2 linked regions of the Lytechinus pictus genome follow. The protein of the gene in region 1 interacts with the protein of each later gene in a pairwise test. Links are inferred from orthologs where the notes say so. Each region holds a gene or a part of one and is shown on either strand. Other genes may lie near its edges.

The links.
Region 2: the proteins of GPN-loop GTPase 1-like (region 1) and GPN-loop GTPase 2-like interact in binary tests that used the Homo sapiens proteins (3 or more experiments, as listed by UniProt). The link is inferred for Lytechinus pictus from reciprocal best matches to the Homo sapiens genes GPN1 and GPN2.

What each region holds. Positions count from the first base shown.
Region 1 is NC_087252.1:17,438,126-17,454,867, forward strand, and holds the start of GPN-loop GTPase 1-like, read right to left. Parts: upstream 9,141-16,742; 5' UTR 8,703-9,140; coding exon 8,535-8,702; intron 2,514-8,534; coding exon 2,420-2,513; intron 790-2,419; coding exon 645-789; intron 1-644. Other genes in the region: E3 ubiquitin-protein ligase TRIM33-like, read left to right, coding at 16,026-16,742. UniProt on the Homo sapiens protein: Small GTPase required for proper nuclear import of RNA polymerase II (RNAPII). May act at an RNAP assembly step prior to nuclear import.
Region 2 is NC_087248.1:21,490,307-21,507,801, forward strand, and holds the start of GPN-loop GTPase 2-like, read right to left. Parts: upstream 6,766-17,495; 5' UTR 6,666-6,765; intron 1-6,665. Other genes in the region: S-adenosylmethionine-dependent methyltransferase Rv2258c-like, read left to right, coding at 15,686-15,876. UniProt on the Homo sapiens protein: Small GTPase required for proper localization of RNA polymerase II and III (RNAPII and RNAPIII). May act at an RNAP assembly step prior to nuclear import.

The sequences.
Region 1 (16,742 bases):
CTAGCAATGTGCGCTGCATGCGCGCGATGTCTACCCCAAAGTTAGAAATTTGCCTGCTCGCTGCAACCGATAGATGGTGCACTGTATTGTGAATCTACCGTATTGCCTGACCTCAATGCTTTTCTAATTGGCCATGGAGATTTTTTTTGTGCCTTTTAAAAAATATCCACCCCCCCCCCTTTGTGCCCTAAGGAAAGTGGCCCCCACCCTTAGAATATTGAAATGAAATGATAAATGCCAGTCGTTTTAATGATTTCAAAATAATTTTACACAGAATCCAAAATGACTACTCACTGTCTCTTTGCATAAAAAAATATGAGCCAAAATAAAATTTGGTGCAAATTACATTCATTATTAAGCATTGGATTCAAGTCAAATGTCATGAATTTTTGCGAGCAATAATACCACTGTCCAACTCTGCTAATTCATCATTGCAATCTTTAGTGTGATAGTTTTTCAGCTTAGATTTCATGATTTCACAAATGACACAAAGTCCAATTTATGGAACTGTAACAGATGTACATTCATCATTCATGACAATAAAGTGGCAATTAATCTTGGATTTACAGTCTCTTTAATAGTGAAATTGATGTTCCCTACAAACTTTTTGTTTCAATTATCTTTAAGGCCTGCCGTAGTCTTACTTTGTTTCTTTGCTGCGTTTCTCTGCAAATCCCATGACTTGATCAAAGCGTGTAGCGAAGAGATTGAGTGACGTCATGATGCCTCCATTGGGTCCTAGACCGTACTGCTTCATAACCTCCTTGTACTTGACGGTGTCACGGATATCTGGGCGGAAAACAAGCATTGCTTCACTAAGTCTAGACTAAAGCATTTATTTGATGTTAAAAAAGAAGGAAACTAGAAATTTGACGTGTCCAAAGGGCACGTCAATGCGATCAATGCAATCAGAAATTCATTCAATGTGACTAAACTTAATATCGTGCAGAAACCAATACAATTTAGACCTTTGAACCAACTCGTATATTTAATGAGCTGTGACTTTTGACCTGCGGACTCCGAATTCGAACTTAGACTGTATTTTGGTGTCATCTACCTACCCACCCAAAATGTTAAATTTTGTTAAATATTTTTTGAGTTATTGCATGGAAACCAACTCGCATATTTAATGAGTTGTGACCTTTGACCTGCGGACTCTGAATTCGAACTAAGCCTGTATTTTGGTGTCATCTACCTACACACTAAAACTTTTAGATTCCATTAAATATTTTTCGAGTTATTGCGTGGAAACCAAGTGGGGGGACAGACGGACGGACGGAAGGACAGGGGCAACGCTTAATGCCCCCTCCAGACTTTGTCTGCAGGGGCATAAAAAAGAAAGAGAAGAAGAAGAAGAAAGGAATAGAAGAGGAAAAATAGATTACATAGAATGATTCAAATATTGAATTCTATTGCCAAGCTAAAAACACTCTGTGTGTTCCCCATCTGTCCTCCTATTTGTAATTTATTGTTTTGTCTGTTTTACAACAATTTGGATATGTTTTGAAGTATTATTGACAAAGACTTAAAGACAAAGTTGGATTCAAAAGCTTATGTGTGTTTGTGAGATGAACACATAACATAGAACATGTTTTTTCACACCAGAGGGAAGAAAATATTTGAAACAATGACTGACTTAAAGGACAAGTCCACCCCAACAAAAAGTTCATTTGAATGAGAAGAGAAAAATTCAACAAGCATAACACTGAAAATTTCATCAAAATCTGATGTAAAATAAGAATTTTAAGAAAGTTATGACATTTCAAAGTTTCGCTGAATTTCACAAAACAGTTATATGCACATCCTGGCTGGTATGCAAATGAGGAGACTATGACGTCATCCACTCACTATTTCTTTTGTATTTTATTATATGAAATATGAAATATTCTAATTTTCTCCTAATTGTCAAGTGATAGAACGATTAATTCCTCCCTTAACACGTGGAATTAGAATTGTTTAATACTACATGTATATGGTTCAGTCAAGTTGGTCCTATTGTCAAATCTGTAAAAAATGAAATATTGTATAATTCAAACAATAACAAACAAAAGAAATAGTGAGTGATGGACATCATCGACTGACTCACCTACATGTAGTTGTGCATATCACTGTTTTGTGAAAAATAAGCGAAAATTCAAAATGTCATAACTTTCTTATTTTACATCCGATTTTGATTATGATGATAGTTTGACTTTATTCTATTTATTCAAATCAGCATTTTCCTGGGGTGGACTTGACATTTAATTATTTTTTCATGTCCACCAGTAACACGCCTTAGCTCATTCATTAAGCTTCTCACTCTCCACTTGGATGTCTATTCTCATCCCCCCCTAAAAAAACAAACTTTACAAGCCTCACTTCTTGCGTTTACAATGGAGACAAAGAGAAAAGCATTTCACGACAGAATAAATATTCTTACCAATATTAGTAGGGTATCCTACTTCATGAACAGCCGGGTCTAGGTTGATGATGTATGGTGGCTCTTTATTTGCATACAAATGAGCAGTCAGGCGCTATGTCAGAAATAAAGTGATAAACAGTAAACGTATGATTAAAATTGAAAATAATGTCATCAGAAGATATATAAACACTTTCAGTTTCACTTTTAAATATAAAGGTTCAACTTTCAAATTCGATTATAAAAAAATAAGAACGATTTTGCGTCATTGTTGTCAATTTTTTTTTATTTTTTAGAACACATCGTTCACTTATGGGGAAAATAATGTTGGCCGGCAATATGGCTCTTGAAAGTCAGAATTTCATGTAAGGACATGCTCCCAAATAACCACGAACATCAGGCTAACCATGAAAAATCCACCTTTTTTTAACCCTTATTTCTGAGCTGTTATGTTCAGAAATAGCGAATCTGACATTTTGGATGCGAGGGGTGGTTAATGTTAGGTGAGAGAATTTTACCTTTTGTTTCAGATTTATTTTTATTTCATATCTTTATTCCTCCCTTTTCTTGCTTTCATAATTTATTTCTTTCTCTCCTTCCTTCTTTCTTTCTTTCTTTCTTTCTTTCACAATCCTTCAATTTTTCTTTCTTCTTTCTTCCCACCCCTTCCCCCTGGCTTGGTCACATCGCTCTGCTTTCTCACCAAGACTCTGAAAAAAAATGTTTGATTTTAAAGAAAACTCACTTTTCATGCCTGCATTTAAGTATTACATGTACATAAATAAGTGATAATGAATAAATCATGGGTGTCTGAAACTCTGAATGTCTGCAATGATCTACATGTATATACTGTAGACTATTATGTTGACTTTGCTTGAAATTTTAGTTAAAATCGTGGAACAGAAATACAACCTTTAAAAAAGAACCCCCATGGGCTCCAAATAGCCACCACAAAATACATTAATGGTGGCTAGTTTTCAGGGGGATCTAAAGACTAAACATAGCCCTCATAAAAAGAAAAGTAAAACTTTTGGATGGCCACGATGACTGGAAACGAAAAAAGCTTCGTCCGTTACTCCCCCAAACTTGGTTATGAGAACGAATATTCGTCAGATTTAACACTTAATTATCCCAGCCCAGGATCATAAAACCACACCTCAGAGATCATTAACTTACTCATTTCAAATTTTTCTTGCTTAAAGTTAAACGAGCATTATTATCTGTTTGAAAAAGTTTATTGTTTTCTTTGCTCAAAAAGGGGACAAACAGCGATACGAAGATCGCGTTTGATGTAATGCCGATGGATATTCAATACTATACAATAAGCAAATGCCAAATCACCACACGTTGGTGACGTCGCGCCTCTTTTTGATGAAAAATACATTGACTCTAATACTAGGAGTACCAGTACAAAAGTGAATGGGGAAAAGGGGTGTCAGAAAATGGAAATACCCACTCCAGTCTGCCACTCAAGCTGTTGAGTTGCATATACATGTGCGTGTATGTAAAGGCACGATTCTATGAACAAGGTTATGATATAACCTTGTTCTCTGTTTCTACTCCCTGTGCGGTGAAATAAGGTTGGCAATGTTTGGCTTATTTTCTTTTTCTTTGGGACAAATGCTTGATTTTTTACACTGTCAGTTTCCATTACAGCTATTCATCATATAACTTGGCTCTTAGGAAAATTTGATTCTTTAAAGTATGTTTTCTTAATTAAAAATAGAGATTGAAAAATTACAATTGTCTTGCCATATTACTTTCCACAAAAATATGCCCAAAATAAAAGTTTTTGAACGCTCTGAATACAAAAATTACTCCAAAGTTAATAATGAAAAATAAATTGCAACTGTATGCAAATTAGTATTTTTGATCACAACAGTGATATTTAAATGATTTTTTAAATTGTTTGCTGTGTGTAGCATTGGCATACCATAGTCCATGTAGATTTCCCACAGGCAGGATGGTAATTACCTTGAGCGAAGTTTGTGCAGGCTCCACTGCACTTCACTACCGCTACACTATGCTCCACCTACCCGAACGTCGAGACCGTGAACTTGATCTGATATTCGGAGTGACAAAGGTGGGATTTTATGGGGGGAAAATATAAAATTCATGCAACATCACAATCTTTAAAAAAAAATTAAAACTAATATTCTTACTTTACACAAAGTTTCGCTTTTTTTCCATGCTTCTATCAGTCTCAAAATTGGTGATTTAGAGCCAACATGAAGTTCCTCACACATATAAATAATTCGCTGCCGATTTCAAAACATCGCATGCGTAAGTGTCCGAGCTCATATCGGACCCGGTACCTCCCGCTTATCGCATCCGCATGCGATGTTTTGAAATCGGCAGCGAATTATTTTATATGTGTGAGGAACTTCATATTGGTTCTAAATCACCAATTTTGAGACTGATAGAAGCATGGAAAAGTGAAACTTTGTGTAAAGTAAGAATATTAGTTTTAATTGTTTTTAAAGATCGTGATGTTGCATGAATTTTATATTTCCCCCCCCCCATAAAATCCCACCTTTGTCACTCGGAATATCAGATTGAGTTCACGGTCTCGAAGTTCGGGTAGGTGGAGCATAGTGTAGCGGTAGTGAAGTGGAGTGGAGCCTGCACGAACTTCGCTCCAGGTAGATGGTAATGAACCCTTGGCCTTGACTGAGTGATGTAATCGTAAACACTTGTTCACTGCAACCATCCTGCCTGTGGTGAATCTACAGGGAGGACTTTGGTATGCCAATGCTGTACATAGCACACACTTTAAAATCATTAAAATATCACTTTTGTGACCAAAATTACTAATTTCCATACAGTTGCAACTTATTTTTATTGGTAACATGGGAATAATTTTTGTATTCACCAGAGCGCTCAAAAACTTGAATTTTGGGCATATTTTTGTGTACACCCTCTATTGGTGGAAAATAATATGGCAAGAAAATTTTTATTTTTCAATCTCTATTTTTAATTAAGAAAAAATAATTTAAACTAAGAATCAAATTTACATAAGACCCAAGTTATACACAGTGACAAATTGTGTACAACGGATAGCTGAGCGTGAACGTAGCAGACGTGTTCATTTTTGCTTATTAAATGACGTCATCCAGCCACTGCCGAGATCCAATTTATGAAAATGAAAATATAGTAATAGTAATTAGTATAAAGCATGCGCAGTGCAAGCCTTCCATTTCCCCAGAAAGTATTCCACGAAAACAAGTCTGCAATTCTCTATCACCTCGTACCAAAATCGACCTAGAATTTCACTGTCCTATATTATATATGAATTATGAAAGGTATTCTCGGAGGATCTATTTTCTCACCGATACCGCACAGGTAAGCAAATTTCGATTACTTATTGCTTTTCCGTCAGAATCTTACGAATTAGCGTCGATATGGCATCGTGTTCGTCGGAATTTGTAGAGTCTATCGCAACGTGCACAAAGTCAATTGGCTTCCCGGTTTCAGAGCGTCGCGTGAATATGCATGAAATTGCAGAGTTTCGATAATCTGATCGATACCGGAGCGATCCGATCACGAACCAAGACCATTCCCCGCGTACACAACGTGACCGGATATCGTTATCGCTATCGATACTTCCGCACGCAGTCCGAAGGAATTATTTTGGCGACCACGTGGTCATGACGTGATCTGCGCGATTGACCAATCAGCGGTCTCCGAATCGCTGTGCGGAGATGATCTATTCGTTGTACACAGTCTATGGATAATTGTTCCTCGTGTAATACGTAGGGCTGGGACTAAAACCCGGGTACCCGGATCCCGCCCGGAAGCTTCGGGTACCCGGGTAGAAAAATCAATACCCGATACCCGAAAATTGCTCACCAGTATAACGTACATGTATTTGATTTGTATTGCGTAGTGTAAGACATGATTGTAACTCATCACAAAAGTACACAAGTCTCATTTTGAATCTCACCAATAACCCTCGAAATATCCATAAATATACAAGTTTTTCAAGTGATGATGATGTGACAGATCGTTCAATCGTCGCCATGTTTCTATTGCAGCGCAGTGACGTCATCCAGTCACTGCGACGCAAGCAAATTTATGAATGAAAATATAGTAAGCATGCGCATTGCAAGCCTCCCGTGCCCCACGCAATATTCCATCGAAAGAAGTCTGCAATACTCTGTCACCTCGTACCAAAATCGACCTAGAATTCCACTTTCCTATATTTTATATGAATTATGAAAGGTATTCTCAGAGGATCTGTTTTCTCACTGATACCACACGGGTAAGCAAAATCTCAGTTTGTGTGCTCACCAAATGCACATGATGCTGCCAATACACGACAATAGTCGAGTGCAATATTCATCGACTGTCTCATCATCACTTTGAACTGCTTGTCGAAATGCATGTCTCTCGAATACCACATTCTTCCAGGGCTCAAAATATTTGGTCAGAGCCTTCAGCGTTGTCTCATACTTAGGCTCATCCTCATCTACCAGTGTCTCATACAACTCTTGAACATCTGGTCCAGCACAATGTAGTAGAAGAGCCCTCTTCTGACCATCTGCTGAGACTCCTGATGCTGCAAGGTAGTACTCAAATGTCCGCCTCCATTTTGGCCAGGCAATCCCTGCTCTAGCCGAACGAACATCAAAGGGTGCTGGCTGTGAAAGGTCCACGCGTCGAGCCACATCCTCTGCCTTTTCAGGTTTTTTTTATCCTCGTCGCCAATTTTGTGTATGCGTATTCTGACTCTAATACACACTTGAACTCATACTCGGTCTCGATTTCTACTCATGTTCTAGGCATGTCTGCTTGTCTGCTTCACCCACGATACGGACGCTTGCATCGCGTAACGTTGGAGAAGAACAATAGAAAACAAGATGGCGGCGTAAACATCGGGCAAGTCTCTTCCGTCTATTCATGATATTTTCCTCATTTTTTTTGATGAATTCTTGTCTAGAAATAAAATCCATAGCGTAGAGATGTCGGAAATGAAGTTGTTAGTTGTATCCCAAGTACATGATTTAGGGCTAGATCTTTTAGAAAGAAAGTAGAAATCTCGGGGGCGAAAGTTTCAGGTTTTTTGGTGGTACACACAAAAGTATAGGAAGGAAGACCTGGCTTCGTATGAGAGTAACCTTACGTTAGTAAATGATTTTTACTCTCTAGAAGCCTCCTGGCTACGACCCCCCCACTCACACGTATTGCGAGGTTAGTATTAGTATTACTAACCTCGCACCACGTCCACGAACCGCGTTTGGCAGTGGATTTCTAACTAGTGGGTAGCGCGTGCTGGGATCTCACTTCTTGGGTCCACAACACACGACTTCTATGGCTTGAATTTTCTGTGCGCGGCGGCATGTAATGAACCCTTGGGTAGCCAGGCGGCTTCTAGAGAGTAAAAATCATTTACTAACGTAAGGTCACTCTCATGAAGCCAGGCCTTCTATCCCATAGACCCACACAATGGAAGCCAAAACCTGAAACTTTCACCCCCGAGATTTCTACTTTCTTTCTAAAAGATCTAGCCCTAAATCATGTACATGGGATAAAACTTCATTTCCGACATTTCTACGCTCTCGTTGTTATTTTTGAACAAGAATTTATCAAAACAATGAGAGAAATATTGTGTAAAGACGGAAGAGACTTGCCCGATGTTTACGCCGCCATCTTGTTTTCTATAGTATTGTTCTTCCCCAACGTTACCCGATGCACGCGTCTGTAACGTTGGCGAAGAACAATAGGAAACAAGATGGCGGCGTAAACATCGGGCAAGTCTCTTCCGTCTTTACACAATATTTCTCTCATTTTTTTGATGAATTCTTGTTCAAAAATAACAACGAGAGCGTAGAAATGTCGGAAATGAAGTTTTATCCCTACATGATTTAGGGCTAGATCTTTTAGAAAGAAAGTAGAAATTTCGGGGGCGAAAGTTTCAGGTTTTTTGGTGGTACACGCAAAAGTATATGACGGAAGCCCTGGCTTCGTATGAGAGTGACCTTACGTTAGTAAATGATTTTTACTCTCTAGAAGCCGCCTGGCTACCCTTGGCCTGGGTGCGACCCCCCATCCTACAGTACAATTCAATTGTATACTCAACACAATAATCAATATGTGGGGCATGGGCTAAGCATGGACGCATTTTTTTTTTATTTACCTGAACGAAAGTCGTTTTACCAGAGCCTGCCATCCCTAATACGATTAAACATGGTGGTTTGGTGTCAGTGTTGTGCAATCCCCCAGCAGAAGCACCTCCATTCTCACCGTCTTCGCTGCTAACTCTGTCACTCTCACGAGGTTCAGAAATACCCATGGGCGTCGCCATTTTGGCTTATCAAGATAATGCGCATACGCGGCTGCTGCTGATCATGATTGGGGTTGGTTAAGTTGGTTACGTTGGTTGGTTCGTTGGTTGGTGGTTCGGTTGGTTGTTGGTTGGTATATTGGTTGGTTGGTTAATTGGTTGGTTGGTTGGTTAGAACAGTTTGTATTCTTAGATGGTGTTAAGTCTTATATATGCAGTCAATTACATGTGTCAGAGTGCAAGGTTCACCTTATTTCTCATATGATTTCCTTCATGACGCATACATGTAGGCCTATACATGTATTTCTTCTGAAAAGAACCCCTGCAATTTATTGTTGCACTAGCTGACTGTCAATACAGAATTGATTTCTGTTAACGAATGGATCATTGCTAACATAATGAAGCTTGAACGTATACGTGCCACCCTGATGTTCAGATAATAATCTTATTATATGTTCTGCATCTCTATAATTAGGAAAAATTGACCAGATGCCGAGATCTCAGATCTTGTCATCATCTACATCCTGTGGGAGAGATGACAATATCTCATCATATATCTACATCCTGTGGGAGAGATGATATGAGTTGACATTTGACAAGATCTTGGATCTCGTCGTGTCTACATGTGGGAGAGATGGTCAGATGACTGAGATCTTGGATTCGTCATGTCTACATTAATGAGTTGTGGAGATGATGATCAGATGACAAGGTCTTGGATCCATGATCTGCACTGCATGGATCATGATGTAGACATGCATGACGAGATCCAGGATATTGTCATCTGATCATCGATCTCAAACGGCATGTATAGATATGACGAGATCCAAGATATCTTGTCATCTGATCATCTCCCATATTGGATAAAGACATGAGATCGAGATCTATTAATTGTCATCTCATCATCTTTTTGAAGGATTGTAGACATGACGGGATGATTATCTGAACAAAATCAGGCTTAATTTCCTTGAATCATTTGTTAAAACAAACTACATGTTATTCAGCAACACTCTAGCAACATTGCCAGCTAATATTACAACTAAGGCATGCGGTTCAGATTACTGAAGTCTTGTGCAAAATTCCTTGGGGTTAAACATTGGAAGCAGAGTTGGAATTAAGTTCACACTTCTTATTTAAGTAAACTTCTTTCCAGAAATTCAAGAGTCATTAATTCATTATTCAGAGTACATTTCCAAAACGGGCCGGCTTTGCCCCCCCCCCCCCTATAGTCTGCTATGCAGACTCTGAATGGCTCGTTAGGTGGGATCTCAGCGCGAAGCTAGCCTGAAAGGGCGAGCGAAGCGAGCCATTTCAGATCTGCAGCTACAGTAGACCTAGTCTATGCAACTCCTTGAATCAGCTGTGGTTCACACACTGCAGATGTGGGTCTACATTTGTAGACTAGCCCCCCCCCCCCCCCCTCGATCCGCCAGTGATCTCATACTGATATTTTGTTTGATGAAAACAAGTTCCTAAATTTACATGACATATTTGATTGGTTGCATTATGTATCAATTAAATAAAAGAGGAATTCCACTTGCCCTTCGATTTTAGATTAATTTAGATTTATTCATTTTCCGTTCAAAAAGCACAACAAAATAAAAGTAACAATACATAGTCAGATTTAAAGTACAATATTAATCGGAATAATGCATAAGAATTAGAAGGTATAAACAATGAGAACTATAATGCGAACTAAAGTAACTTTGACTATTAACTATATAAAAAAACAGAACGGAGGGGCTTGCCAAAAAAGCAAAGCTTGTATGTGAGGCAAGCCCCTGTCTGCCTGTAACTTAGTTTCAATACGTAAAGACAACATTACAAAACTATAGTATAAATGAGAGACGGAAGACAGTTTAAAAGGAGACTATACAAAATATCGAAGGTACCAACGAAAGAGTGACACAAATTAGAATAAATGATAATAGTAATAATAAAAAATAAATGCTCCGTTATGTGAATTGAATCTATTAGAACGTCTGGCATCCGCCAACATTTTGTTCAAAACAAAATGTACAAAATAATACAAAACAAATATACAATTCAAATACTATAAGCAGATAAACAAAGACAAAATAGTATTTTATCAAAAAAGAAAAACAACTTAAGTCTACTATTAAATAAATAGTAAATGCATTACATGTAAACACGATGTGTAAGAATATTACGAATATATTACTACAGAATGTTTGCAGGTTGATATCTTTAGTACTCTTGCTGACATTTTATCTTCAGAAATCACCCCTAATAGCAATTATGTTTTGGATAAAAGAACAAAACTATTCAATAAAAAAACTTCAGTTTCAAATTTCATATGTAGATACATTTTTCGTGGCACTCCATAAATAGCTTAAAGTACAATAAAGCGTGATTTAAAGTTTATAGCAATCCATCTACAGAAAGCTGACCCAGGTTGTGTTAAACGCATCTAATATCTTACGCTCTTATGTTGCAAAACATCATACGCACAATTGTCTGAAAGTTAATAATGAGCAAGATAAATGTAAATTCTTCTTGGGGTCGGCCCTATAAAGGGTGTCATCAATGATTATAAAAATAAGTTCATAATTTAACTATAAAATCCTCGTTTCTTTTGTTGAGTCTCAATAAGAATATATGAATTTATATTTTTATGAGCATTCACTATTTTATCATGCGTACTTTGAACAGAGAGATTTTAAACGAATGCTTCCAATGGTTTATTGGACCCTACTTAGAGTTTAAAGCTATTCTATTTGAAAAGTCACAAGAAGTTAACCCTTTTTTCAAATAATAAAAATCCATATAGGCATAAATAAGGTTAAAGTTTCGAAGGATGCTTGTTTATCTTAATCCCATTTTCATGTTTGTAGTTTCAAAGTTGCATTTGTTCACCAGATAATTGCCTGATGCAGTCTCACATTGTGCACGTTTTCATTATTGAATTTATTACATTTTCCTTTGGTGTGATCTACGTTGCCTATAAACTCAACATATTGTTGAACATTATTTTTATTCATTACAATTACATTTTGTCTGAACAACATCTTGGTCAGATTTACCAAGTTTCAAAATGTTTCATACTGTAGAATCCATATTCGTGTAAATTTTTATTTTTAGGGATGCTGAGTTTTCTCAAATGTAATTATACCTTTTGATTCATCATTTTGTATCATTTTGTAATGTTAAGTTCAATGGGCAAAGTAATTTGTCAGGGATAAATGAATCAGACCATTAAGATCACATCGATATTCCTTTGAACAATTCTGAAAACACTTGTCTCTTTCTTGTTACTTCCGAATGTGTCAATGCATTCTTACACATGCAGGCCCGTCAGATCAAATTTTCGCATACGTTCGTAATTCCGAAGCTTCGTTATTCCGAAGGTTCGGATATTCCGAAGGTTTGTTATTCCGAAGGTTCGTATTTCTGAAGGTTCGTAATTCCGAAGGTTCGTTAGTCCGAAAACGAAATGAGGTTCGTAATACCGAAGGTTCGTTAGTCCGAAAACGAAGTGATTAAAGAACATTATTTCGTTTTCGAACTAACGAACCTCCGGAACAACGAACCCTATTTAGTTTTCGGATTAACGAACCTTCGGAACAACGAACCATATATTTCGTTTTCGGATTAACGAACCTTCGGAACATCGAACCTTATTTCGTTTTCGGATTATCGAACCTACGGAATAATGCCACAAATGTTCGGAGTAACGAACCCTTTTACGTTTTTGGATTAACGAACATCGAGGTATAGGCAATTTACGTGTTTCAGAATTACGAACCTTCGGAATAAAGAACCTTCGGAATTACGAAGTGTAACCCGAATTTTAAAGTGGTATGGTTATGGTAAGCTATTTGACCCATAAAGACGATAAACTATGTTTATCGTCGATGGGTCAAATGGCTTGCCATATATGGTATGATTCTGGGATATTCTCGGTAAATCAAAATGTTGCGAATCTAAACGACCCTCTGTCTTAGAACAGGTACATGCTGGAGGGTAATAGACTTGTCCATTGCCTTTAATTATCACCTTCATATAGATGATGCGAGCGGTTCCCTTATATTTTGTAGAGGAGACCCTGGCCTATAATCTAGGCGGAGGTAGCATTTATTGTCTTTGTCACATCAGACGTATCGCTTGCGTTCAGCATAACAGCAAAGACATTAACTATTACATTAACCGTTCAAGACATTAGCCTCCGCCTAGATTATAGGCTATAGAGGCCCGGGCAGGTTCCGTTTTGTACCAAAATATATCAGGGCATATTTTGACACATCGTCACTTTTGTCTAATTCCCTCATTTTTTTTCTCCTTGTTTTTTTTTCAATTGTATGTTTCACCCTTATCTTTCTGTATTTTATGTTTAACCTCAGTTTCTTCCTCTCTGCTCTTAAAGTCTTTAATGATTAAATGCCATTTTTCCTCATTTTACTACTTTTCCTTGTCCAAGTGTTTTTTCTTAATTTGGTAAAATTGTTTAAGAAGGCTGCACATAAAATATTTTGATTGTCATTATCAAAAAGAAAAAAATTGTAAAAGTCGACTGACTGAAATTCGCTACTGTCTGCAGACAAATATTTGCACATCATGATCATGAAGCTTATCTGCCACAAGTCATGACTTGTTATAGTTATGACCTTTGTAGCAATTAAAACATTATGCAAATAATGTGATAAGCGGCGGGATATAGATTTTCCTTTGGATACTGCAGGCGTGGCTTGATTATAAAAAAAAAAAAAAAAAAAAAAAAAAAAAAAAAAAAAAAAAAACAGAAATAGAAATAAGGCATCGTCTTCAAGATCCAGCACTATCAAGCATTAATTGCTGTAACTGGTTATTCATCTGGATTGCTTGGATTAGTAAAATATTTGTTTAAAGAAATCCACCATAGTTGTTCCTGCGCCTAAATACGTAGTAGCTGAATTCTTGAACAGGTTGAATGCTGATTTGTGTATTACTCTGTTACTTCTATGTTCAAAGGTAACATTTTTCTTCCCTTATTTCAACAAAATCAAATTCTTGTCATTTTACCGACAACTTTATAGCTCCATGGTAATAGACCAGTTCGTAGTTACTTCATGGACAATTTTGGTCAAATGACCTTTCATTTCTTTCATTATGATATGTAGATTTCAAAGAAAGATATTACATAAGCATGCCTTACATAGCAGGATGAAGAAACTGAATGGACCAGGTGACAAGAATAGCACACTTATGAACACTTTATGAAGGGATTTGTTGCATTCCTATTTTGAAAGCATATCATAGCATGTTGCACAATGTACTTGGCAAAATGTGAAATACCAGTCGTTCGTGGACGCATTGTTGTTTTGTGTGGATGTACATGAAAAAACACAATTCAAAAGAATATATGCATAATCAAGACATCAAAGTTGGTGCTTATATGAAATGAAAACCAACTTTTGATGATAAAAACTTAGTAGAAATTGCTGAACAGGAGATGTCTGAAATATAAATTTGTTTACATGTCCTCAGATGCAGCTGGAACCAAAAAACCTAAAGCAGGGTTGGATCCAGGATTTCCCAAGAGAGGGGGGGGGGGGCACATTTTCCGAGGGAAAAATTGACAAACAAAAAAAGAAAAGAAAAAAAGTGTTTTAACCAAAAATTAATGATATTTCGTCCCCGAAAAAAATTGACATGAAAAAAATAAGGTCTTTACTTTCAAAGGGGAAGGGGCACGCTTCTCTTTTAATAGCATTTTTACATTATAATTTTTAATTTTGCTTCTCAAGGGGGGGGGGGGGGGACACAGCCGGCCCGTGGACCCGCTATTGAGCTAAAGGTTGTGCTTACCTAGGGTAAAATGTTTATGTGTTACAAAATTTGAAATGTATCGGTTTTATTTCAATTGACTGAAAGTGCAAAAGAATAATTGTAAGCAATGTATGGCACGGTTAGTTTGTTTCGCCGTTTTTTCCCTTATACAGCGTGAAAATGAGCATTTATGCGCAAAACGATTTCTGCGACCTTTACAAATTGCTCACACACGTGTAACATTATGTCATTTTTTTTAAACTTTCATTTGATAGATGAGACCCAAGCCCAAGAATATATGTAAGAAAATAATCCACATGTTGTATCTTTCTCAATTCCCAGGACCACTGTAAATGTTATTTGTATATCTAATATTACTCATTTTGAAATTTCCTTCACATGTTTTATATTTATTTGTCTCTGGTTCGGATATACAAACTATCGAACATACAAGTATCAACTAAAATGATAAAATACAGCAGAACCTATGTGTAGGTGGCATAATTGATTCCCTTATTTGCATACCGATCAGGCCGTTGTGATTTATCGTTTTCTGATATTAAGCGAATTTTAACTAGCATAACAATAACTTTACTTTTCTGCATTGATAACCGTTTTCATTGGGCAGTTGGGTTAAGAAGGTGGGTTTTTTTTAAGCTGACGTAGCCAACGTGAATTGTTTCATGGACCCGTGCCACGTTGATGTATTATTTATGAAGTTATTATGATGTATCTTATGAAGTAATGAAAGTTATGAAGCAAGTTTATTTTGTATTCACTGGTAGAAGCAATAAAATAGTACTTTAATATACATAATTTTTTATATATTTTTTTAAATGGAAATTTGCTTTTCAGAATTAATTTTGTTTTCCTTTCAAATTGTTCCTGGAACAAAATCATGTCCATTGTGTAGTGATGACCTTTTTTGCTTGTCAATTATTATCTAGCAAATAATGACCTCAATTTTTAATGGAATACCCTTTTTTGCTTGTAAAATTATTCCTGTGACAATATGCCCCTTGAAAAATCCTAATTTTGACACCTCTTTAAATAATCATTTCAGTAGAAGATATCTTTTCTCATTTTTCTTTCTTTTTACCTCAGTCGACATCATAATACAGAAAGGGCTAGCTACGGTCTAGTGTGAGGATTGAGTAATAGAAAGTAGATCCAGGTTCGTCGCTTTGGTTCGCGTTGAGAATAACGATGGAGAGGGTCGTAGCGGAGGAGGTGCGGGTGTTATATCAAGACAAACGTAACATATGAGAGAAGTCAAGACTTTGAAGACAAACTCATTAGAATTGATGTGGATTGAATTCCAACTGAGAAATCATAGACTGTACCTTCTAGGAAAAGTGTGCAGACAGACAAGAGCTGCCTTCCAGTGTATTTAAAAAAAACGTAAGACAAATTTGAGTTGCATATTTTTGGTTCAATATATATTACAGATTTGTTTTTTATACCGTTGATATACTAACTGCAGTTTGAAATACTATAAGAATAAGATCTATGCTTTTGCTAGATATTTAAAGTGTTGTGCTAATTAAAAACAAAAACAAAAGGTTCAAGGTAACAATAATTATGGCGACACTTGAGCACACCGTTTCGCAAAATCTAAAGTGTCCGGTTTGTTTTGATTTGCTTACTTATCCAAAACAACTGTCATGTACACATACGTTTTGTAAAACATGTATTCGAGATATTCTGGCGTTCTCTTTACTTAAAAATATTTTGTCGTGTCCAATATGTAGAAATACTACAACTGTCGCGAATTGCGATGTTGCAAACCTTAAAACTAACATTCCTGTTAAGTCACTTGTTGACGGCTTCAGGAATAGTAAACAGCTCTGTGACACGTGTGACAAGCAATCAAGAGCCGCACACTTCTGTTGCGATTGTGGTAAGAATATGTGTAACGCATGTCTGCAAGATCATAACAACTGGAACCCTAATCTTAAACACAAAGTAGTGAGTGTTGAGGACATCAGAGAGGGAAGGGTCGTCTTAGAGAAGAAGTTATATTGTCGGGAAAAGATACATAGAACTGAGAAGTATGAATGCACTGATGTATGCACGACATGTAAGAAGCTCATTTGTACGAGATGTCGCATGCTCTACCACACTCCGGAGAAAGGCCATCGTGTTAAAGATGCCGGGGAGTACACCGCCTCCATCAAAGATAGAGTTGAAAACCTACAGTCACGTGGTGAAACTAAAACTAAAACAGTCAAGAATCATATGACTTGTATTGATCATCAAATCAAACGCGTCAACTATCACATTGATGGGGAAAAGGCA
Region 2 (17,495 bases), on another chromosome or scaffold:
GCAGGTATGGTAGGCATCTGAATATGTACAGTGCAGGTTTAAACAAATTCATCAGCTTGGAAAGTGCAGCTAAAAACAAGTGGCCCTATCTAGCAGAGCTGAGTTTCCTGTACCACTTGCTTGAATTGGGCTAAATTGGTACAGCTGATGGCATCTTGGAACAGCCCATTCCACAGTTTAAATGTGTCAGGGAAGAATGTCCGTTGGTAGCTAATGGCAATGCGACCGACATTGTCATGACAAGCATGAATGTAGGACCCTTGCTGTAGCAAAATCAGCATTCATTATATTAGGCGCTGTCTTCATGGTCTTATTAGACACTTTCTTTTTTAAAATATAATACACTCTGAATCAATCTATCATCCAAGGCCAAGCCAGGCCCAGGGTTCAAAACCACCTTAGTAAATCTGTGCCAATACTCTTCATCTTTCATACGGTACTGAAAGGTCTAGAACAGCCCAGAAAAATGTTGATTTAAATCAAAAGAGAAGTAGATTGTCGCTAGGGCGAGCACATAATACGCCCACCTGTAATGTGGAAAATGGAGTTAGTGGTCAACCAAAGAAATTACAGGTGGCAACTTGACCTTTGACCTCAAAATCAATAGGATTCCTGGGATCCATGCTAGTATAATACAAACCAAATTATATGAGCCTAGGTCAAGTTAAACTAAAGTTATCATGTATACAAGGACTTCAGAAGGGTAAGATGAAAACATGTCACAATGACCTTGGACCTTTTGACCTCAAAGTCGATAGGATTCCTGGGATTCATGCTAGTATCATACACACCAAATTATATGAGCCTAGGTCAAGTTAAACTAAAGTTATCATGTTTACAAGGACTTCTGAAGGGTAAAATAAAGCATGTCACTGTGACCTTGACCTTTGACCTTTTTCCATGGTGACCTTGACCTTAGACCTCAAAATTAATAGGCTTTCTGGTATCCATGCTAGTAACACACACACCGAATTATATGAGCCTAGGTTAAGTTAAACTGAAATTATTGCATACAAGGACTGCAGAAGGGTAAGATGAAAACATGTCACTGTGACCTTGACCTTTGACCTCAAAATATCAAGAGGCTTCCTGGGATCCAGGCTAGTATCATACTCACCAAATTAATTGAGCCTAGGTTTAGTCAAACTGAAGTTATCGCGTTTACTAGGAAAAGTTAACGGATGGACAGACGGACGGACACCAAGCGTGATACCATAATACGTCCCGTCAAGAATAATGCTGAAAGTTTCATCAAAATCTGATGTCAAATAAGAAATTTACGATATTTTAAAGTTTCGCTTATCTCTACAAAACAGTTATGTGCACAATTCAACTGAGAGTCAGTGACGTCGCTCACTATTATTGTTTTTTCATTGTTCGAATTATACAATATTTCAATTTTTACTGATTTGACAGCAAGGACCAATTTGACTGGACCATAAAATGTTAAAACAATGGTAATTCCACATGTTCAGGGAGGAAGAAAACTCTGTTTCACAGGAGAATGAGAAAAATATTAGAATATTTCATATTATAGAAATAGTGAGTGCATGATGTGATGTCATCAGTCTCCTCATTCGTATACTCTGTCTTGTCTTTCCGTTAATGCCCACAATCATCTAACATTAAACAAACTCATTTCATTTTCCACATGCTGCCTTGGCCTTGCAATTCATTAGATCTAGTGTCTAACAGAAAGGCCTAGATCTAAATCGATTTAAACTTGAATATCTCATTCTCAGTTAGATCTAGTACATAACATCATAAGTTAGGCCTAATGTTTGCATCTACTTAGGATACTTAGGGAATGTACTGAACGAAGTCATTATGTATTCAGTTCCAAATTCCTTCTTCTCTTTAAATTGGCCGGATCATATGCTGGTGGGTCAGCATCGAACTTGAACTTCACTAGTTCACTTCTCCAATATTTGTCCAGTCCGTTCTTGAAGCTGTAGACACTGGGTGTATTAACTATTAATTCATCCATGGTTTTCTCATTCTCATATAAGGATTTCTTACGTTTCTCAGTGACTGATCTTGGAATAAACAATTGACATCTGGTAGGCCCATGAACCTGACCCAAATCTGGCACTACCTCCTGGTCATATCTATGAAATAACTTGTAAGTTTCAATGTAGGGAGTTTCAGTTGGATCAATCTTTGTTTGTATGGAAGTTTTTTACCTCAGGTACCAATTTAGTGGCCCTTCTCTGTACATTTTCTAATGCATGAATATGTTTCTTCGACTCCATACGGCATGTGCATACTCTACATGTAAATGTGGTCTGATCAAAGCTTTTATACATGTAGGAGTAAAAAGTTCTCCTTGTGTAAATAAACATATGTTCATCTCATCAAATTCATTAACCTATTGGCTTTATTGATCTTTGCCTGAAAATATTGGTCAAAACTAAGCTTTGTGTCAATGATGACGCCTAAATCTACTTGTTTCAACTTGTGATAGATTATGTGTGGCATTACCATGTGTCATTGTGTAGCCATTAAATTCATCACTCTTTTTTCCCATTGTAAGTAGACAACATTTATCTGGATGGAACTTTAACAGCCACTTGTCAGACCAGGAAACAAGACAATCTAAGTCTGCCTGTAATAACTCGGCATCATTGTCATTCTCTACATGTTTTATATCTTCGTATCATCTGCAAATAAATCAATATTACTTGATAAAATCTGATCCGGCAGATCATTGATGTCCATGACAAAAAGCAGGGATTCAAGGACACTCCCTTGCAGAATTCCGCTAGTAACAATCAGCCCAATCAGAGAAGCCATCATTATAAACACAAACACGGTGCTTACTACCGACCAGAAAAGATCTGACCCACTCACATATGGGTTTGGATATGCCAAATCCCTCTACTTTGGCTAAAAGACTCTGGTGCGGGACCTTATCAAAGGCTTTCATGAAGTCTAAGTGTATGCTTCAACTGCACCGCCGAGTCCCGCCGACCTCCAACATTCTTGTCCAATCATCTAAAACTTGGAGCAACTGCAACATAGTGGATCAACCAGATACAAGTCCAAATTGGTTTACACTGAGAAGGTTGTTTGTTGCTTCTCACATGCTCATATATTTTGTACCTTAGAATAGACTCCATGATTTTACATACTATACAAGTAAGACTTATAGGTCTGTAGTTTGATGGGAGTTTACGATCTCCCTTCTTGAATACTGCACTAACATTGACTTTCTTCCAAATACTTAGGACTACGCCTGATGCAAGTGAGTTCGAGTAGATAATACTCAAAGATTTGCAAGAACAGGTGCCATTTCAAGCAAAACATGTGGATGTAACCCATCTGGACCTGGTGATTTTAATAGAAACATTTAGTTTACTTAATTTCTTCAATACACATTCTTCAGTAATAATTACTGTGTCCAAATTAGGACATCATGGCGTTGAACAGAAGGGATAGGTCCATCAGGAGTGTATTATACAGTAGAAAAGTGTTTCAACAGTGCATTGATTTCTCTACATCAGATTTTGTCAATTAATTCCTATTTCCAGTACATTCTTGTAATAGAGGTGGTATTCCACTTTTGTCTTGAATTTCGCATACTGCCAGAATTTTCTTAGGATTAGATTTAACCTCCTTGGCAAATGGCAATGTTAGACTCATATCTTTTCTGACAATATCTTTTAGCTGCCTACACTTTATTTCTGATTGTATATTCTCTACAGTTTTGTCCAACTCTCCCAGGCTCTATGCCTTTTCTTCATCAACTTCAAGGTGTCATAATCCATTGGAAAATCACTACCCTTGCCCCATGTACGTCTACCGCTTGTTTCAATAGAAAGAATAAATTCTCCCTTAGCACAATCGATTATAAGGATGAGACCACTGCTGATCGACATCACTCACAGCTGAAAGTTCTTCCTCCCAAGGAATGGCACTTTACAATTTCTCTATCCTTCAATCAGCATAACAAAGCAAATAAAAAACCAAGACTGAGTCAGTGATCACCGAGTCCCAAGCCAGGGACTACAGTACAAATACAAATTTTTTAGATGCATAAACTTAGTCCGGCATGTCCGAGCCGAGACTACTTCTGTCCGAGTACTAGTACTAGTATGGTAGTGGATCGTATTACCGAACACTTTTCATGAATTCAATCATATCAAACACATTATTCTCATAAAATTCACCAAACTTTCACCATAAATACACAATTACCTACAAAATATAAATATGTAAAAATTATGCCGAAATCGTTTTTCCTTTTTACGATATTAGCTTCCAGTCGGACCCCTCTTCGCATGTGAATATTTTGGTCACTTGAAAAAGGTATCGTATTAACGAAAGTGTGTTTTCTATGGGAAAAGTTGAGATAACAACAAAATCACTACGCTATTTTGACCATATTTTATTAATATTATTTTTAGAATATTAAGACTTTGAAAATGTGTTTTTCACCATTTTTCATCATCTTTCTATTCAAGTTCCCTTTAGAAGGATGTTGCAAAGTTTTGAGCGTGTGAAATTAATTTCTGACGCGTACGATGCGCGCGTATCTGCCTATATTTTAGATCTAAGTTAGGTGTCCGGACATCGTACCCTCTATCCGATCTCCACGCACGTGTACAAATATGATGGGGTGTCCAAACTTCGCGTACTTTTCAAAATATTCTTCAGGCTTAATATTGTTTACAAAATATTAACAATTTATACAAAATCAATCAAAAAAATAGTTACCACATAGACGGCAAGATCGTATATTATAAAATTATTGACGAAAATGTGAAGTAGGTCAAGGGGTTTCGCCGGTATCGCGATCTCAAAATTCCATTCCCATCTACGAATGTGCGCTGTGCTGGAAAACCGTTCTGAAAAAGTGTGACCTAACTTCGCAGACCAAAGTTTTTGAGATTTAAACAAAAACTCGAGCTCAAAAGATGAGATATTTATATCAAATTGACGACAAAATGCTATACTATAGAATCAGTCAGTACCACATTTCAGTCAGTCCGCAAGCCCTGAAAAAGTAGCTTCTTTTATCCAAGAGATATTCATGACTAGAGGGTTTTTGCATAGTTAATGAGCTTGGTGCGAACCAAAACACCTCTTTTTATTCGGCCATTGCTGCTCTAAATATTGACCAAATTTCATGTTTTTGGTATCTTTGTAAAGAAGAAGAATCATTCTTTCAGGTCATGTATTTGGATTTTTAAAAGAATGTTGTAATATAGGAAAAACTTTTGATCTAAAACATAAAACAAAATATTTTTTTTCATGCAACAAAAGTTGTTGTTTTCACACTTAATTTCTGTTTGGGCACAAATGATTTTTAGATCATGATAAAGCTGAAGATCTAAGCTTTAATATGATATAATTTTAATAAGAAGATGTATTTTAGATGGGTCAGCAGCGAGCTTTTCATAGGCCAAGTACATTTTGCAGCTCAAAAACAAGAATACTGCGCTCTGATTGGTCATAGAGCCACACACCCACGCAAATCCAATGTTCCTCACACTGGGCCTCTGCAAGGTCACACTCACCATGTGGTAATCTCTTCAAATTACCCGCGCCTGTTTGTTTTGAAAACAGTATTCAGCCAATCAGAACTCTGGATTTTATGTTACTCAGAAATTTCAGAAATCTCGTCTTGCATCTTGATGGATAAAGCTGGCTGCTGACCCATCTAAAAGATGCCACATATCAAGAGTGACATTGTAAGAAAGTATAGAGTTTGAGCTTTCTGATGATATAAATAATGTTGGTGCCTAAAACACAGAATGTTGCACAATTTGCAAGTGAAAACAGAGGAAAACAATTATGTTTGATGCATCTTTTCAGGTAAAAAATCACTTATTTATCAAAATATTTCATTCAAAAGAAATGACCAATATAAAAGAGTAACATTTACTCTTGCCCATGGTACAAAAATAATCAATATTACTCGAGGAGAAAGTGGTTAAATTCTTTGAGAAAGAAAGTCTCACAATTCACGAGATTTTGCAGGGACATGAATTCAGCCACGAGAGGACTTGGATAAATCTTGCTCATTTGCTCATTAACACAGGGGCTTGCGGACTGACAGATTTAACTCACATTTTTGATGATATCTGCTTGCAAAATGATGATATCGTGATGCTTGTTGAGAATAAAAGATTTCTTCGGAACGGGCGCCAACACTTTTTAACAGTGACTGACAAATTTGCCGATCTTTTGTCAATATTTTCATGAATACTAGGCTAATACTAATAGTAATAGGCCTACTGAACTCATCCTAAAGTAAAAAAGAAAATTACGCCAAAAGGTAATTTTAAGTCGCTTTTCAAGTTGATGTCATATTTTAAGAATATTGTCTAGTTTTTTAGATAATGACCGTCCGCGAAGTATGGACACACGCGAAGTTTGGACTCACTGCCATACAATGTCAATGTACACCGGTTCATGTCTCTGCAGCAACCGCTTTACCACGGCCGCGGCGCGGCGTCCACGGCGGGCGAGCCAGGCCTGCAACTGCCATGGCTGCAGTGGCCAGTGCATGCCGGCTGCGGAGCTCTGTTCAATTCCACCTTACAACTTGATCGAATAAGTTCTAACATTTAGACTTATTATCAGCTTCCCTATCACGCAGTTATGTTTTTAGTAATAACCAATAAATGAAACACGATCAAATTATCACATTCTCAACTTACATGAGGAGAAAGCAAATGAACTAGGCCTACATTTAATTAAGCCATCGAATTCTGAAGTTTCACTCTTCTGACGTCCTGCTCAGATTATTATTTCAATTTTGCGTTAGTTAGACGACCGTACGCGTACCGTACTTAAAAAAATAACACCAATTTTGTATACCATATATACTGTATATCACTGACTTTTCTAGAATACTTTCATTTCATTTCAAATGCATTTTTAGACTTCACTATTTAAAATATATTGCTATATAGTGGATTAAAGTGAATTAAAACCTATTATCGGCCTATCTGTCAATTGTTATTTCCCTTGTTATTTCTCACCTTGAACCTTGCATGAAGAGTAATATCCGTATAATCTCTTTCAGCAGCTTCAAAGCTTTCGGGAAGAACCTTAATAATAAGAGTAATCCTGTGCGAGTTGAACAATAAAAAAAACTTGCCACCTCACAAATCCCCAATTTAAGTAAAAAAATATGTATGTCATGAACGCATATTATGGCTGGATTATTTTTCCCCAAATAATATCATACCATATTTATGTGGTATGTCTATAGGAGACAGGAGGCAGTGATGTAAATTTTGATTTGCGCCAAATTATTTGGGATACCATTCTCTTTCAGGTCATGTTGAATAATTTTTTTCTTAAATTGGGGATTTAATTGTGAGGGGTCAATTTTTTTTTACTCACACGTACGGTATATAAACAGAAAATACCCTTTCTCAGCTGTGCAATTAATTGGTCAATCATAATTAAACAAATTTATGAGGGAATTGCACTAAGATGAAGATTGCCCATATCAATCCTTATTGAAAGAAAATAAATAAATATTGATCGGCACGCAAAAGAAGGTCCCGCAAAATTTAAAGCATTCTTCAAGTTGGGAGTGCAGGGCGGCGAGTATTTTTTTTTTTCTGCTTTAATCTAGGCCACAAATCCGAGAAAAAAATGACTGGTAAGTGAAACTATAAGATAAGATATTAATTATCATTGGTATTATCGCATTTTTGACCGTACTAGTCAAATATGCGATAATACCAATATTTGAATTTAAAAAAAATCTAAATCAATTTGGCACATGATATATAACGTAATTGTGCCTGTTAATTAATTAGAACTCATTTTTTATTGATTTCTAAAAAGGCCGGTTTTTACTCAACATAATAGAAAAAACATCAAATTATGATAACAAAAAAGAGGTTTTATTCAGAAAATAATCATAGTAAAAACGTACTTAAAAATACATGAAAAAACAATAAATGGGGCTCTAAACAAAATTAACAAAGCTATAGTGTTGTTTATAAATTTTGTGTAGATGGAAATATGGTTGAACTTAAGGTACTCATTCTATTGAAAAGACTCCTGGTCACGATGGCATTACAAATAGAGTCGTGAATTCTCCTCTGCTTCAATTGAATTTATCATGATTGCAGCTTGGTCAGGTTCCAAAGAAGATGAAAATAGACCCATTTTCAGAAAGGGAGATCAATTAATTACTAGTAATTCCCGCCCATAAATATCTTTGTTAACTTCGTTCTCAAAAATTATTGAAAGGATAATTAAATTTTTATAAGAGGACATGTTGCTTTCCATAAGAAGTATTATGTGATAATCAATTCGGTTTTAGAGAAAAGACAACTCATTCTATATTGGCATTAATAAATAAGATATCTGTATACTTCTTTAAACAATTCAGAATTTCTGATCATATCGTAGGGCGTACGTAGGGTAATTGTTCCTCGACTCATTTCTCAAAAGCGTTTGATACAATAGATCATGAAACGGTAAGTTATCAATTAAATTACGGTAATGGTTTATAGAATATATCTTACTGTTAGATTTCAGTTTGTTACCGTAAATGAATCAGAATCTCCAACAATTAAGGCTAGTTACCTATGTAATTCCACAAAGTAGTATTCTTGGCCCTTTCTTTTTGTACTTTATGTTAATGATTTGAACAATTCATCTCATGTTCTGTCGTTTATTATCTTTGCTGATGATTCAAATATTTTCTACACACATCATGATCCACATTTACTTGTGAGCACTATGAATGCAGAATTTAAAAAAAAGTAACAAACTGGATTCAGGCCAACAAACTGTCACTGAATCTGCAAAAACTATATGTTTTATTTGCCGCATAATACTGCAATCAAGGAAGTGCAAACAACAAATTTTTAGGTCTTATACTAAACGAACTTAGGCCTACGTGTAATGCTCATATCAACAATATATACTGTGGCAAGAAATATTGGAGTCATCAATAAGCTTAAAGGTCAAGTCCACCCCAGAAAAATGCTGACTTGAATAAATAGAGAAAAATCAAACTGGCATATCATTGCTGAAAATTTCATCAAAATCGGATGTAAAATAAAAAAGTTATGACATTTTAAAATTTCGCTTATTTTTCACAAAACAGTAATTTGCACAACTAGGTGAGTCCCCGGGGGGGGGGGTGCACTCGACCAAAAAAGTGGTAGGGGTGTGCCGCGGGCGAGACAAAAAACGGGGGCCTTGCATGGAGCGGGCTCATTGTAAAAAGGAGGGTCCTCGGAACGGGCTTCGGAACTACAAATGTTTGTGAAAACGGGGGTCCTTGGAACGGGTCGCCTGCGTGCGAGTGCGTATGCATCCCTATGGAACGTACTTGCAGCTAGCCCGGCGGCACGACTGACGGGCGCGCTAGCGCAGAGGCGATGGTCGGACGGCCGCTTTTCACCAAAATTGCGACCGGAACGGCGTAACGGAAAATATGCGAAGCCCTGGAGCGGCCGGATTTTTTTTCTTCTTTTTTCTCGAGAAGAAAAAAATGCTATGCTCTGGAGCGGCTTTCTTTGTTCTTTTTCTCAATAAGACAAAAATGCTATGCCTCGGAACGCAAATTTGAGTGTAAAAATGGGGGTCCCCTCCGCGGCACATACCCACTATGCATTATATACTGAGTGCCCCCCCCCCCCCCGGGGGTGAGTCAGTCGATGATGTCCATCACTCACTATTTCTTTTGTTTTTTATTGTTTGAATTATACAATATTTCTTTTTTTTTTAGATTTGACAATAAGGACCAACTTGACTGAACCATATAGTATTAAACAATGCTAATTCCACATGTTCAGGGAAGAATTAATCATTGTGTCACTTGACAATGAGGAAAAAATTAGAATATATTTCATATATCATATAATAAAATACAAATGAAATAGTGAATGAGTGATGTCATCAGTTCCCTCATTATTTTGCATACTAGCCAGGATGTGCCTATAACTGTTTTGTGAAATTAAGCGAAACTTTAAAATGTCATAACTTTCTTACTTTACATCCGATTTCGATGAAATTTTCGGTGTTATGCTGGTTGGATTTTTCACTTTTTATTCAAATCAACTTTTTGTTGGGGTGGACTTGCCCTTTAAAAACGTTCTTCCAGCACAGGCGCTATCCACGTTGTATTGTGCAAGAACCATAATCTTAATTATGGGATTGGCATGGGGAAATGCCTATCAAACATGTCAAACGAGACTCAACAATGTCCTGCTACTTCAGAAAAAAGTACTGAGAATAATACGCAATATGTCCTTAAGTTAGAGCTCAAACGTATGCAGGCGGATCCAGCCTTCGCCAATAAGGGGGGGGGGGGCGAAATTTTTTACAGCCATACTTTCCCCGATCGGCCGCTCGAAAATGATTTTTGGTTTCTTTGAAGGGGAAGTCCTAATAATTCTTAGCTTTATTCTTATAAATCAATCCTTATTCATATAATTCAAGCGAAGCGCGAGCTAATTTTTTTTGGAAATCTTATGTATTTTTATCCTAAAATTTGAACATTCTGGGCAATGTTTGTTATCCTGAAAAAGATGTGTATGCAACTAAATAATTACTGCGGACGCGAAGGGCGAGCAGAAATGAACTGATGGAAAGGGTACATGTTAAAGAATTCATGCATGTAAGCCATGAATACGCTACATATTCTAAAAATGAAATAGTGCGAGCGCGAAGCGCGAGCTGATTTTTTTGCCATTTTTTACCCAAAGAATGGAAATTCTAAGCACTTTTTGTAACTTAAACAGAATAGGTATCATTATCATGATTATATACCTGAACAATTGATGCGAGCTTGAAGCGAGAGAAGAAAATTTCGAGATTTAGACTTACTTAACAAGACAATCTATTCATGTCTTATAAATCATGAAAAGGATGAGTAATTGGGGATCTTCCTTACATTAAAATTGCGAACGCAAAGCGCGAGCACAAAATTTTGATATACGTTTTGTACTGATCGAAAAGGTATCTATTAAGGACTGCTTGCACTCAACAATTTATGCGAGCGCGAAGTGTGAGCGGAAATAATCGAGATTTAGACCTAAAAATAGTTTGTAAATCATGAAAAGAATGAGTAATAGGGGATCTTCCTACATTAATAATGCGAGCACAAAGCGCGAGGAGAAATTTTTTTCTGAAACTTGATAATGATTTAAACAGAGAACAAGTTGAGTATCTTAATAAATATGCGCGCGCAGGTTTCATATTTAGACCTAGAATCTATGGGCATTCTAAATACATCTTTAACGATGAAAATCAAAGCGAGCGCGAAGCGCGAGCTTAAATTTTTTTTTTCCGATCTGAAAAAAAAGAGTCGATTTCAGCTCTATATTTCAAGCACCTTGTAGGAAAATTGTGAGGTGGATATGGATCGCACTGATATTTTTCATCATAATTACTTTGAGTTTTGACATAGGACCACGACATCCTTAGGACATGTCATCATATGAAAATGATGACTGTCTTCCTATTCCTCTTACTAAGGGCGAGATGAAACAAAAGGGTCAATTTAATTATTAATTTTGATATCTTATTCATTCATGCCTAATGAGGGTGAGAAATAATTTTTATGATGATATTATAGCCTGAAACTGGACATTTCAAGCATTTTTATATTTATAAGTAGGATGCATCAGTTAATAAATTTTTAAACATTAATCCAGCAAAAATTGCGAGCCTAAATTTTTAATACACTGTCATGAAAAGGGGATTTTATTGAGACATACATAACTCGCCAATCAAAATGCGAGCATGCAGCGCTAGCTGATACGTTTTGAAAATCAGACCTGAAAAGGGATATTTTGTAAAATTTATGGAACACACGAAAATAATAGGTAACTGGTAAATCATAATTTGCGAGCGCGCAGCGCGACTCAGAAAATGTTAATATTCAGACCATATAACTGGAATTTTTACAGAGCACTATTTACAAATCAATTTGTAAATCACACAAAATAATGAAGGTTCGATTTCCGAGATGAAATATGTTTTGTATAATTATTGACTTTCAAACTTGATATTTAAACTCTATAATGAACAAGATATGAAAATCACCTGACGGGCAATGCGAGCACGAAGCGCGAGCGGAAATTTTATATAATGACACGAAAGATTATTTTTATTTTCTAAGTCTTCCCCTCATCTTATTTCATTCACTCGTCTTGTGACTATCACCATACCTAAAAGATAAACAGAGTATTTTCTAGCAAAACTGTATTTTCCACAGGACCAAAGGACCAAACTCTGGAATTCATTTGGACAGAGTAAAAAAAGAGGCAGCTAATCTGAATCGATTTAAATTACTCATCAAAACATTTCTTTTGAATTCTTACTGATTCAAACAAATATATATAAACTTCGATCATACTTTTCCACGGTAGTGTTGATTATTTTAAAGTCAATATTTAATTTTTTATATAGACTATATACATTTGTGTTACAGTGCTTATATCTATATATAAATTTGTAGAATTTTTTTTTTTGATAATTTTTTCTCTACTTATATCATATTACCCTTGTTTAATTTTTTGATAGGTGTCTACATCTTACAAGCTTTGCTTAACAGTAGGCCCCTCCACTTTTTCATTTCATTGGTACGTTTCAATCCTGCATGATTGTGTTATGCAGTTGATGCATCTTTTCTTTGTAAAAATGATTTATTATGAAATGTGCTTTGTGGAATATGAATATATCAATAAAATAAATAATAAATGATACGTGAGACTTGTGTGGCGCACTTTCCATCTTGATTAAATGCTCAAGGCGCAGCTATAATAGTCGAAAAAACAACATTTGTTTGAAAAATAAGTCGATGTCTGTCACAAAGCACTATTTTTGTATACAAGTATATGTTTTCAGGTTGCCCATGAAGGTGGGTCATAATCATGATAATAGTCTGGGGTATCAAACTCTGGGGAAGAGTTCCTGTACCAACGGAATTTTCTTCTCAATTAACTGATTATAACATGTATAATGTGTCTTTATGTCTCATGATGACAATGCTCCCATTCCCGGTTTTGTCTAAAGGCCTACCATTGATGTTTATTCTTATAGTTTATTCTTATTACATTGCTTTTTATTTTGTATTTATGTTTGTTCGTTTACTTTCCTTTACGTAATTACACATTAGGGCCTATTATCATTCTTCTTTTTTTTTTACATTATTTTACTTATTTTTAAAAATTTTATCTTTCTTTTATCCACACAATTCCCCCCTCCATCAAGTTCTGTTATTTATTTTTTACAAGGAGTGGGCCCTATACTGCCAAATGTTCAAATGTGACTTTACTTTGGCACTTTATTTAGTACCGGTTCCATTGTTGTTTACTTCCAAAATTTCATACAAAACATTAAGGAAAATTCCATATTGTGATTTCCATTGTAGTATATATAGGCCTTTAAATTTGTTATGATAACTACGTTTTTAAGATGACTTTGGGTCCTAACTTATATAAGAATGTGTTGGTATTCCTAGTCCATTTCCATCACAATTTAAAAAAAAAAGAAAGTAACGTACTCAATTAAGCCAATATGATCATTTGCATCATATCTTTTGTTATTATATATATATATATATATGTATATATATATATATATATACACATATATGTAAATTAAGAAATATAATTAAAACAATTATGGAAAAGGATGCATCCGTAAAAGCCAATAAGGCTTGCAATGAATAGATGCTCCAAAACGCACAACATGTGTTTATACTGAAACACACGCCCGGACATATAGGGGCATATAGTGTCTCCATCCACCCGCTGGGATCCAATGCACATACTCGGCAGTATGCATATGCAGATCGCACACAAAAGCTGCTACCATGTCAAACATAGATACCCGACATAGCAACAGCCAAAGCACGCGATCCATACACCACTATAGACATTATCAGCCGCTCCCGACGGGTGAACAGATTCACCTGCCCTTTAGGCATGATCATGACTTATTTCTAATTTTTCCCGCGAAATATGGGATGACATGCTTTCATTTTATTTTTCATTTGTTTTATTCAATTTGACAGGAAGTAAAACATGAAAAGTAAATCTAACCATACCAATGTGCAAATTTATGAGGTAACAACAGGCAGATTGGAGATGGCCTTGTCATTCGTATAAAATCGTTTGCAAAATGCGTACATACGGTCGATTTAATGAATTATCTAATCTCTCTGGAAAAAAATCATGAAGCGCAGTGCATACTACACACAACAATAATCACAGCAAGGTCTGACAATATGCATTACCGCATATAATTATACTCATTCATGCATGCTTACTCACAATTTGTATCTTGGTGCAAAACAAAGGCTATATAGGCCTACATTCCTCCACGTACATGTATGATCATGTAATTCATTATATTTCATGATCAGGGGACAATGGCCTCATGGTTTTTATAGTAAAAAGAAGAAAAACAAGAGAAAAACAAGAAAAGGGGCGTTTTAAAGAGTGATGAAGGGTAAAAGGTCTGGATGGGGGCACGGCCCAAGACTCATAAATTGGCGCCGCGTCCCTCTGCAGCTCTAGACCACGGCGCTTAATTCAAAGGGTAAATCAGAATACCTATACAAAATAAAGTTTAATGGAAATGTTGTACAACGACGACCACACCATTGACTCCAATCCCCTTCAATGTAATATATTTCCTTATCCCTTATCATAATATATCCCGAGTGCAACTGAGACATGTACCTCTACTTTAATTCGTTCGATCGTTGTTTATTAGTCGCTATCTTACTACGATAATTATTTCAAATAAATCACGTGCACTTTAAGATTGATGTTACAAAAATTTAGATGTCACAAACCAATCTACCTGCATATTAATCTAGTGATATTAATGCAGCAATTAAAGACAAATGCTACGCGTGCGAGTTCAGTATTTACCATATGGCCGTCATAAACGACTGGTTTCCTGGTGCAAATTTCATTATTATACACTGCGTCCCACAAAAAAGGAAACCCGTTTTCAGAGACAGATTTCACAATTATTTAACATATTTTTACTTTGAATTTGATACCCATGGTAAGAGTGGAATCTTATCTTTAATTTGAGACAAACACCTTAGCATATAATTTACGCATGGCAGGTTAAAAACAGTGATTAATATTGAGGCCTATCAGAAACGATTTGCGCAGAAACTCACGTGTTAATCTGAATCCACTCACATTTCAAGGATCACTGAGGGAATCTTAAGAATAAAAAAGAAATGCTGAGCCAATCGTCCAATAAGCACGGTTGTCGTCCAATCTTGTCACTTTTTTCTGCGCAACCTGATTTTGACATTAAAATTTCAAACTCGTCTTGCTCATTAATGCGTGAAGTGTTCGTCACATATCAAAATGCAGAGGAATAATTGAGTATGATGATGTCAATAAAATATCATAATTAATTTGCCTCTTAAGAAAAGGGATGCGGGATTCCTGGTCCCGGGATCACGGTGTCCTTTTTCCTGGGACGCACTTTACAAGGGTTAGATGTACTATCTGCTTTTACTGAATATATATAGCCTAGTAAATAGAGACTATTTGCTCGACATTATGCTAGACCGCACAGCAGCAGGCGCTGCTGCATCCATAATATATACCAGCTACCCAGGATCTGCAGCACAGATCGAAGTCTACCCAGGCTCAAGTTCAGGTCAAGCTCTATTCATATTCGTTTTGGTTTAGCAAGGCGACGGACGATTCTCCTGAAAATGGCGGACAAATATGCCAAAGAGACGGCGGAGGAGTTTTCCTCCCGAATCTTCGATATGCTGAGCGGAGCATTCACTGGGATTTCGATTGCATTTGGAGTCAAGAGCGGTCTTTTTAAAGTTCTAGTAGATCTTCACGACACACCATTGACTTCACAGGAGATAGCTGATGTAGCTGGCCTAAAGGAGAGGTAGGTCATATTGGTTTTACATGCACGTATGTAATAACCTCGGCCTACTTGTTATATATCAAATACCCGCTGGAAGATTGTTAGCTCATATAGTGTTGGCAATATTTGGATTATGGCGGAAGACATTATGTGAGAGATTTTTGACATATCAATAATAATGGAACGTATTTATTTATTCATGTATTTGTTTATTTATTTCTGATATTTATACAGGGTTACACATATCACCAATTTGGTGGTCTTCCGTGTGGCCCTGTTAAAAAATTATATTAATAATAAAAATATTAGGTAAGCAATGAACAAGATATGATACAGTGATAAATAATACAGGCACAAAATATAAAAAGAATTATTGGTATCCTTTGAAATTATGTTCATTTTGATAATCAATTTTGACAATTTCAAATTTTGAAGGTAGCGCATAAAATAACATAACAATAAATTAGAACGAAAAAGAAATTACCAAATATGAAAAGCAAGATAATGATTACCAGTCAACACTATTACCAATGATTTCTATATACATATTGCCCATTAATATATCAAACCAAAACAAATTATTGAGGATAAAAGGATCAGTGTTACAAAATAAAAGCAAAAACGATTTGACATCTCAATCCTGGCATTAAAAAGGGTAAAAAAGAAATCAAAGTTAATTTATTAAAATGTTTTGATTGCTTTAGCGTTAATAGGTGCAAATTGTGAACAGTGTGGTATATGAAGAAATATGACATAACATTTACGGTAGTAGAGTGATGTAGGCCTATCACGAAAAAACAAATTTGAATAGGACTCGTGGCAGTAACAGACAGAAAAAAAATGAAGTAACGTTAGCTATGTACATGTATATAAGTAAATCAGACAGTTTAAGGAACAATCAATATTCAGTTCTTGTTTAAAGTGAAACCAGAGATAGATCGACTCGGTCTCACCTTAACGTTTAGAATATTGGTGTCATATAGGCATATTTTTAATATCAATTCAGTAAAACACACAATAGCACAGTGAAATGAATAGTGTGTTGAATACAGATCGAGTATAATGCATATTCTGCGCTAACCTAATATAGGCTCATGTATATTAGTCTTGGTAAACTTACCTTTTGATATTAAAGATTACAAATATTGTGAAATTTATCATTTGAAAGATTATATGTTGGCCATTCGATTTTCATTAAAAAGGGGAATGCTGAGGGTTTTTTTTCGAAGTGCCAATAAGTCCTATTGTATTTTCATTTATTCCAAGTCTCTATGCGCTTGAGAAAAGAAAGGAGAGGAGGAGTGTTAGCGAGTTCATTTTAATGAGGCTATATAGGTACAATTTATGTTAAGTATGTAGATACAGTGTAGGCCCTATAGCCAAACTAACTTGTTCAAAGGGCAAGTCCACCCCAAAAAATTATTTGAATAGGTAGAGCGAATTCAAACAAGCATCGACGTCAGATGTCATGGATGTAGAATAGAAAAAAAAAATAATTTGGCTCACTTTTCACAGGGCATTTATAGTGATTATTATATAACTCAAACGAAGATTCTTGCCATCTGATTGGTTGAAAGGTGTTCAATATTTGGTCCATTTTTTACTGCGTGCATTTTGTAATTTTCCATTGCACGGTGACC